3 separate regions of the Mus musculus genome follow, and all the other regions are reported to be linked to region 3. Evidence: microRNA targets listed by miRTarBase, many of them from high-throughput screens and not tested one by one. Region 3 holds a microRNA gene; each other region holds the end of a gene's coding sequence.
Evidence for each region. The annotated mature microRNA mmu-miR-466f-3p reads CAUACACACACACAUACACAC and lies in region 3 at 2,101-2,121, shown strand. An mRNA with a match to its seed (bases 2 to 7 or 8) in the 3' UTR can be bound and repressed. Matches are read on the target gene's strand: a 7mer-m8 pairs with bases 2 to 8, a 7mer-A1 pairs with bases 2 to 7 and ends in A, and an 8mer does both.

Region 1 (3,098 bases), not on the chromosome of region 3:
CTGCCCTGGCTCACAGAAAGAATGTGTAAGTGCAGAAGATTTCTGCACACAGCAGTGTGTGGCCCAGAGCCAGCTCTGCCCTGCTGGAGACCCCGAGAGCCAGCGCTGCCCTGGTGGAGGCCGTGTATAGCCCAAGGGCGTGTCAGTTCTTAGAGCTAAAAATGTCTTCTTCTCTTAGGTTCGCTTTCAACCCTTAATACAGAAATAGCCAACACCAAGCTTCTACAGACCATCTGAAGCTACAGTGCTGTGCTGGGGGCAGTGTCACACGCTGTTTTATGACGTAAGTCTCACGGTCTGTGTTCTTCCCCCAGGCTCTCAGAAGCATGAGGAATTATGATCTCTGGAGGAAGATGGGAAACCCACCTTGACAGTTTGGACTAACTGCTGTTTTCTCTGATCTTTCGATACGACTGCTGATGAACGGATTGGGCAGGTGTACCACACCTATTGATCTGAGCATTGATTTAGACTACTGCACCCTAGTGGGTGCTAGATCCTTGGGGCTAAGGCTCTGTTGGATTTGTACCTCAGAGGAAGACAAGTGGCTGGTCTTCTGGGACTCTTCTTCTCACCAGAGGGAGAAATGCCGGCAGCAACTGCAAGAAGCCCAGTCCTTCGGTGCCCACAGCCCAGAGCACACACTGCTGTGCTGGCCCAGAAGCTGGGCAGAAAGGTCACCATGTTCTTCCTTACCTCAGTTTACCTGCAGCCCTTGCTGCAGTGCAGATGCCCACCCTGTACCAGGTCAGGCCGGCAGATGCTTCATCCATGCCTCAAGGTCTACGCCAACATGCTTCTCACGTCTCTTCCCCTCCCCACCCCCCTTCCCAAGCACTAGGCTTGTTGTTTAATGGAGCCCAACCAATAATCATGTGTCTTCAGGGTTGGCTCAGTGCAGTTGCTAAGCAAATCAGTCTTCAGGAGAAACGGGGTGGTGTGGATAAGGCTGGAAGAAATGGCAGGTAGTGGAGAGTGTTGGGGTGTTCGATGGAAGACAAAAACATGGGCCGTTCTCTTCAGTCTAGTACCCAGTGAACTGTCCAGGTAATTGTTTTGTAAACAATTTTTCTATTTATGAAAATGTGTGCTTTTTCTTCTTACTTTCTAAAAAGCTGTTGGTTATCAGTTTCCTGGCTGGGCACAGGCGTCCTGAGTCCCTCAGTGACCGCTCTCAGCGTGCTCAGCCTCCGTCTGGATGCACCATACTGTCTGCCCTTTCCCTTGTAGAGTTTTCTCTCAGACCCAGGGGATAACTTTGGGTGTTTCTTCCCCCAAATGCTCTCAGACCTGTGACCAGGAATGACTCTGTCTCTGGAACTCGGTTTCCTACACTCTGTCTTTCCCTTGTGCTTTGGCTCTGAGGGTCCCCTTTGGCTTTCGAGACTTGCCGAGGTCTGGTCCAGTTCTAAGGTACTGCTGCTGTCTGAAGCAGCACCCTTCACTGCTTTGTGTTCACAGCCACAGCCCAGCATCACCTCGGGAGCAGCCTGGGCTGAGGAGCCTTCCACGTGTTGTTAACCTGGCTGGACAGGTGTGGGTGTGTGGTGTCATCTCTGCCCAGGACTCAGGGATCTACAGCAGAGAGTTAGTGTTGCTGGGCACAGGGTGTGGCTCAGTGGCAGACAGAGTGCTTGTCTAGCAAGCCCAAGGCCTTCTGTCTGGTACTGTATCTCCCCAGCCCCCCCCCCCCAAAAAAAAAGACTGAATATGAGGAATGAGTACTGTGGGTAACTAAGTTCTTGCCTGTCCAAGCTAGGTAATATGTGTGTTACCATGGAAGAATGGCCTACAGGAGCCGTGGTTAGGGATTTGAGTGGGCAATTGTTAAGTAATAAGTAGAGACAGAAAACTGGATTGGGAATTCAGAGAACCAGCATTAACCCCCTTACCTCGTCAGCTGGAGCTCCCACTGAGAGTCCTGGGCAGAGCACAAGTGTCCCCTCAGGTCAGGAATCCACATAAGAGAACAAAGAGCAGCACTAAAAACAACATCATTTAGTTCGGTGCTCACGACACCCCAGAAACGAGCTGGGGGGCTGCTACCATCGGTCGGTCAGCAGGGTTTTCTCCCTCTCCCTCTGCAGGCGCTTGGGTAGCAAGGACAGGCTGTAGCGAGCCCTCTGACCTTGGAAAGGTGTCTGGGAATAAATTACTTCCCAGCTGTTTCAAGCGATGTATTTTGACTCTTGGATTATCAAAGTGTTTTGTCATTTGTCATAAAGTCAGGGAAGGGGCACACATCCCCAGACAAAGGGCCATGGAGGATACGTTTGAGACAAACATGTTCCATAGCTTCTTAGCTTAACTAGCCCTTGACATTTATTGATACAGTGTATATTACAACATGAATTTCAAAAAATAAAAAAATTACCACACATATATCAAGTAATATCTCCCCCCCCCCCATTTTCAAATCTAAAAGTTAGCTTAAGAGCCAGCCTTTGTTCAGGCTTCATGTCCACCCTGGATTAAGCTCTCAGGGCTGCTGCGCCCGACTGTGAGCGGAAGCTGTCTTCCCAGTGCCCTGGGAGCCTGGAGTGTTGAGCAGGAATAGTCAGTGCTCTGAGATGCTGGCCCGGTGGCCAGGGTCCTTCTCTTACCAAATTATGTGTGCCTCCTCTGAGGAAGAGGAAGGCATGGGTCTCCTATGGCCCTTTAGTCCCTCGTGGGTCACTACACTGACATAAGTCATATTCAGAGCTGATGCTGGCTAGGCCAGACCCTAAACTAAACCCTTCTAAAGCTGTCCAGGCCCCCCCTTTCCTGGTCCTTCCTTGCATCCTGTGGATTAAATCATCTCTACAAACTAAGCCACTGCCACAAATGGGCTGCTGCCGGCAAGTGGCCCTGGAAGGGTGTCCCTGTCAGATTTCACCTGACATTCTCACTACGAAAAAGCATGTTGTGACTGAAAAGAGAGATGAGCTATTCTCCAAGAAGCAGGAAGTGACTGAGCAGACAGGTTATTGAGGCTCCTGGAGAGCTCACCGCCATTCTTGGCCTGCGAATAAATGGTTCTTTGACCTCCTGTCATATAGCAGTAGAGTGTTTCCTTTCTGAATCACTAGGGTAGTGTGACCTGTGACAAGTCAGAC
Region 2 (3,098 bases), not on the chromosome of region 3:
CAGTGCTAAGCCTCGCCTGTGGGGATACAAGGCTAAGTGAACTGGGAATCCTCATCCTTAGTCTGCTGGTCCTCTTGGTCTCGTTCTTCTTAATTAGTGTCTCCTATGCCTATATTTTGGTAGCAATCCTGAGAATCCCTTCTGCCGAGGGACGGAGAAAAGCTTTTTCTACTTGTGCCTCACACCTCACAGTGGTCGTGATTCACTATGGCTGTGCCTCCTTCATGTACTTGAGACCCAAAGCCAGCTACTCTCTTGAGAGGGATCAGCTTATTGCTGTCACCTACACTGTGGCAACCCCTCTCCTCAATCCTATTGTTTATAGTCTAAGGAATCGGGCTGTGCAGACAGCTCTGAGAAATGCTTTCCGGGGGAGTTTACTTGGTAAAGGATAAAGGCTAGCCTGGAGACATTTGCATAAGCACACCCTAGACCAGGTTCAATACAATGGACTAGATATTTTACAATTTGGGCAAAACTGCTGTACCAAAACTCCACATCCCTCCTTTGCCTTTCCTCCCATGATGCCTGGAAGGATAAAACAGGAGTTCTTGCTCTGTTTACTGTGTTCAACCCACAGTGAGCTCCAAATCTTAAATATTCACCTTCAGTCTCATAGATGCCACTCCCAATTATCAAAACAAATCGAGAAACAAGAATTTTCTTAATCATGACTGTTTTCCCAGCTGAGCTAAACAAGATGAAAGAATTTCAAGGCTACGATGCCAAGATCCAGGAGCATTGTAGAGAATTTTAAAGTGATTATACAATGAGACTATTTGATCAATAATGTTCTTCCAAGGCCTGAAACTCGGGATGTAGTCTGGAAGATGCTGGGTAGGCAGAAGCCCTCTTGCTGCTTTTGCTCCTCACCCCTCACTGCATCTCTTATCTTTCTGAGTTTGTTGTAGAGCTATTTACTTTGCCTGTTCCTTCCACCTACAGTGTTTCATACATGCCTCGGGTTGTTGTTAGGGAGAATTAAAAATGACTTCCTCAGTAGCCTGGCAGGAATGTGAACACAAGCTCTTCAACTAACTAGCTGTGTTAAGCTGGGTAAGTTACTTGCCTGTTTTCAGCTTCAGTGCCCTCATTTGTAAAATAGTTATCATTACATACTTTTGTATATGACTAAAGGTTTCATACATATATAAAGAATTTATCAATATACTCGAGTCATAGTCATATTTTAATGAATGCCACTTGCTACTTGTAACAATGTTGTGATGCTGGCTTTTAGTCCGTGGATCTGAGACAGCTTCCTGACTAAGTTTGTGTGTGTTCTTATTCCTAAAGAATGGATGAAACATGTCCTAAACTGACTGGGTCACTCAGAAAAAGATAACAGGCTGGGTAATGAGAGACTGTGGATATGTTACAGAGACAACTGAGTGGGTCAGAGAAAGTGAAAGTCATACAAATGAGAAATGTGTTAGCCTAGGGAGTTTTTGTTGTTCAAGGAAGTCATCAGTTGAATATCTCACTTCAGTATGATCCTTTTGTGAAGCAGGAGACAGGGCATAATAAATGGAGCAGAAAGATATCTGCGATTTAGAAAGATCAGCACATGAGTAGGGAGGATAGAGAGTTTCAGCAGAGACAAATAAGAATCAAGGAGACAAGGAAGGAATCCTAGCTATTACCTTAGGCTGAAGAAAAATGAAGGCTTTGAGATGCTAAGCTCCAGATCCACCAGGCTTATCAAGGAGATGGAAATATAAATGACCTGAGAAATATAAACTGATAGCCCAATTTTATTCAGCTCATACTGATTTTTGATGGTCTATTATGTCATAACCACCCAGTTGGAAAGATCTTGGTCATTTATAACTAAATTAGACACTGGTAAACATTTTGGGGGTATGTTCTGATTGTTATATTCCACTATAGTTAATGGCTTAAGGTAAATGTTATAAAAAGACTACTTGTCATTTTCAAATATCTTTATTTGTAGCCATAAGTATTTTAATTAGATCCTGTGAGAATTTTTTCCCAAAGATTGAGGAGGGGTTAATTTCTACTCAAGCGAAAAAACTGAGACTTAAGATAGTAAATAAGGAGTGATATTCATGAGCAATAGGCTATCTGTACGAAAGGCTAAATTTCACAAAAGGCAACAAAGTTACCTAAGAAACATACCTGTACTGAAAACACCTAGATATAGTACCACCATAGCTTCTTGGTTTTTTCCTTAAATTATGAACATTTTACTGGCTTCTGAGAAGATAGAAATGAATAAAACATCAGTTGTATCATATTAAAATGTAAGAGAGTATTCAGAGATTTAGGGAACATGAGAGGACCCTGACATGCCAAAGTCATTCACTTTAATGGTGAAATATCAAAACAGGACAAGAAGAAAACAAGCATTTTATGTTATCTTTTTCTGACTCTACTTCATAGAATAAGACAAAATTACAAACATTTCAAATTGTAAGGATTTCATCTCTCTTAAAAGCTACTAACAAACTGTGAATCACCTTGTATTTTATTTATCTAATTTATTATTGTCCTTTTCCACAGTATAATTAATTGCATATTATATTTAGTAATAATATGGTTCCAAAAATACAAAAGCATAATTTTACCTAAATTTCCCTTTAAAAAAGAAATATTTCTGCTATAATCAGAATGCAGTAAAATCTTAAAGGTGTGCAGCACACACACACATACACATACACACACACACACACACACATTAAAATCTTGGCACCCTAGGTAGAGACTAGTTACATAATCCTATAGATTTTTCTTAGCCCCCGCTATATACTTGATTATTTTTTTAAAAATCCCACAATAAATGTAACACACACACACACAGAGCAGCAGGATCTTTTTTTCTTTCACGCTTGCTTGTGCCTCTTATCCCCCATTACTTGCTGCCACACTATGATTTTCTATGATGCATAAGAATCTGCATATCAATTGCCAAAGAATGAATTGGTGAAGCCAACATAGTCGTAGCCAGCAGGTTGGCTCCGACCCCGTGGATCCATATATTGCTGCATATGTATGGTACAGAATGACACTTGTTCCGGGGTGAGAGCCTGGAAAGAATGAAAGGAGAAAGACAGAGTTACAGAAACCCAACACTTGTT
Region 3 (3,000 bases):
TCACACACAGAAACACACACAGACACACACACACACAAACACAGGAATGTTACTCATTGATCCATTTGAATGATAAGTGACTTAGAGTTTTAGAGATGCTGCAGTCCTGGGTCAGTGAGTGATTTCAGTCACCCCATGGAAATGTTTGCCAGAGTTATGAGGATCAAATCCATGCTTAACTTCATGAAGAGTTAGAGATCAGCCTGGATTCATGTGATGCGCTCTATGTATGTGCATGTGTGTTTATGTGTGTGTGTATGTGTGTATATGAATATATGTATACACACATATGCACACACACAACACACACACACACACACACATGAATGTTACTCATTGATCCATTTGAATGATAAGTGACTTAGAGTTTTAGAGATGCTGCAGTACTGGGCCACCAAGGATATGCATGTGTGTATAGTTGTGTGCATATTCATTTTTCTATATGAATATGCATATACACGCATGCACACACACTCACAGGAATGGCCAGAGCTATGTCTCAGGTAGGAGGTGAATATTCTTGCCAGTGTCAGGAGGCTACAGAGTTCAAATTCATGCTTAACTTCATGAAGAGTTAGAGATCAGCATGAGATTCATGTGATGCCCACCAAGAAAGTGCATGTGTGCATAGTTGTGTGCATATTCACTTCTCTATGTGAATATGCATATGCACGCATGCACACACGAATGGCACTCATATATCCTTTTGAATGATATGTGACTCAGAGCTTTAGAGCTTATGCAGTACCAGGTCAGAGCTATGTCTCAGTTAGGAGGTGAAATCCCTTGCCAGAGTCAGGAGGTCCTGGAGTTCAAATTCATGTTTAACTTCATGATGAGTTAGAGATCAGCATGCGATTCATGTGATGCCCACCAAAAATGTGCATGTGTGTATAGTTGTGTGCATATTCATTTCTCTATATGAATATGCATATACACACATGTACACACATGTACACACCCACACCCACCCACCCACACACACCACTTAGAGTAATGGCATCATATATCCTTTTGAATAATATGTGACTCAGAGCTTTAGAGCTTATGCAGTACTGGGCCAGTGTGTTGTTTCACTCGTTAGCTGAATACTTTTGCCACAGTCAGTATGTTTCAGAGTTCAAATTCATGGTTAAATTCATGATGAGTTAGAGATCAGCCTGGGATTCATGTCATGCCCCCCATGTATGTGCATGTGTTTATACTTGTGTGTGCATGTACATGTGTGCATATCAATATATGTACACATACACATACAGACGCACACACATACATGCAGGAATGTCACTTGTCAATCCATTTGAATGATATGTGACGTAGAGCTTTGGAGATTATGTAGTATTGAGTGAGGGTGAGGCTTCAAATACCAGGCTAAAATCCTTGCCAGAGTCAGGAGGATCAGGAGTTGAAATTCATGCTTAACTTCATCAAGAGTTAGGGATCAGCCTGTATCATGTGATGCAGCTTATGTATATACGTGTGTGTTCATGTGCATGTGTGTATAATATAAATATAAATATACATACACACTAACATAGACATGCACGCGTGGAAAAACACACATGAATGGCACTTATCAATCCATTTGTATGATATGTAAATTAGATCTTTCAATACTATGTAATACTGGGCCAGTGAGACATCTCACTCACTAAGTAAAAACGCTTGCCAGAGTCAGGAGAATAAAGAGTTCAAATTCATAATTAACTTCATGAAGATTTAGAAATCATCCTGGGATTTATGTGATGGCCCCTATGTATGTGCCTGTGTGTGTTCTTGTGTGTGCATGTGCATGTGTGTATATGAATATACATATACATACACACATACACACGCACGTACACACACACAAACACACACATACAGGAATGGCACTTATCAATCCATTTGAATGGTATGTGACTTAGAGTTTTAGAGATTATGCAATAGGGGACAGTGAATGTTCTCACTCACCAGGTGTAAACGATTGACAGAGTCAGGAGGATCAGAAGTTCAAATTCATGCTTACCTTCAGTTAGAGATCATCCTGGTATTCATATGTATGTGCATGTGTGTTTACGTGTGTGTGCATGTGCATGTGTGTATATGAATATACATACACATACACACACACATACACACACATGCAACACACACATATGAATGACACTCACTGATCACTTTTAATGATATGTGACTTATAGTTTTAGAGATTATACAGTACTGGGCCAGTGAATGGTCTCACTCAGAAGGTGAAAATGCTTGCCAGAATCAGGAGAATCAGGAATTCAAATTCATGCTCAACTTCCTGAGAATTTAGAGATTAGTCTGTGATTCATGTGATGCCCCCCATGTATGTGCCTGTGTGTATAGTTGTGTGTGCATGTGCATGTGTGTATATGAATATACATATACATACACACACACGTATAAACGCAAGCACAAACACACACAGAGGAATGGCACTCGTTGATCCATTTGAATGATATGTGACTTAGAGCTTTAGAGATTATGTAGTATTGGGCCACTGAAACTTTTCATTCACCAGGGAAGGCTTGCCAGAGCATCAGTATCCAGAGTTCAAAATCATGCTTAACTTCATAATGAGTTAAAGATCAGCCTGGGATTCATGGGCTGTACCCTATATATGGGCAGGTGTGTGTCTTGTGTGTGCATGTTCATTTGTGTATATGAATATGAATATACACACACTTACACACTCATGCACACACACACACATCCATTTGAATGATATGTGTCTTAGAGCTTGAGAGTTTAGGCAGGACAGTGCCAGGGAGAGATCTCACTCACCAGGTAACAATGTTTGCCATACTCAGGAGGATTAGGAGATGAAATTCATGCTTAATTTCATGATGAGTTAGACATCAGCCTAGAATTCATGGGATGTCCCCCATGAATGTATGTGCATGTGTATATAGTTTTGTGTGCATGTGCATGTGTGTCTATTAATGTACATATACATACACACAAACATATACACGCATGCGCAGATACAGACAC

Region 1: miRTarBase lists Uggt1 as a target of mmu-miR-466f-3p. Seed matches in the 3' UTR shown: 7mer-A1 at 2,334-2,340.
Region 2: miRTarBase lists Spta1 as a target of mmu-miR-466f-3p. Seed matches in the 3' UTR shown: 7mer-m8 at 2,676-2,682 and 7mer-m8 at 2,670-2,676.

Annotation. Positions count from the first base shown.
Region 1 is chr1:36,141,468-36,144,565 of GRCm38, reverse strand. Uggt1 (UDP-glucose glycoprotein glucosyltransferase 1) reads left to right here. Exons shown (of 41, transcript NM_198899.2): 41 at 315-3,098. The coding sequence ends at 340. It overlaps Mir6897 (microRNA 6897), which reads left to right and starts at 253; the gene lies at 253-314.
Region 2 is chr1:174,247,281-174,250,378 of GRCm38, reverse strand. Spta1 (spectrin alpha, erythrocytic 1) reads right to left here. Exons shown (of 52, transcript NM_011465.4): 52 at 1,930-3,047. The coding sequence ends at 2,922. Olfr419 (olfactory receptor 419) reads left to right here. Exons shown (of 1, transcript NM_146715.2): 1 at 1-490. The coding sequence ends at 395. Among named protein-coding and RNA genes, the nearest start is that of Olfr419, 2.1 kb to the left of the region's middle.
Region 3 is chr2:10,464,898-10,467,897 of GRCm38, forward strand. Mir466f-1 (microRNA 466f-1) reads left to right here and starts at 2,047; the gene lies at 2,047-2,140. All of the region lies in intron 10 of Sfmbt2 (Scm-like with four mbt domains 2), which reads left to right. It overlaps Mir466m (microRNA 466m), which reads left to right and starts at 1,766; the gene lies at 1,766-1,849. It overlaps Mir669f (microRNA 669f), which reads left to right and starts at 2,332; the gene lies at 2,332-2,452. It also overlaps Mir669e and Mir669b.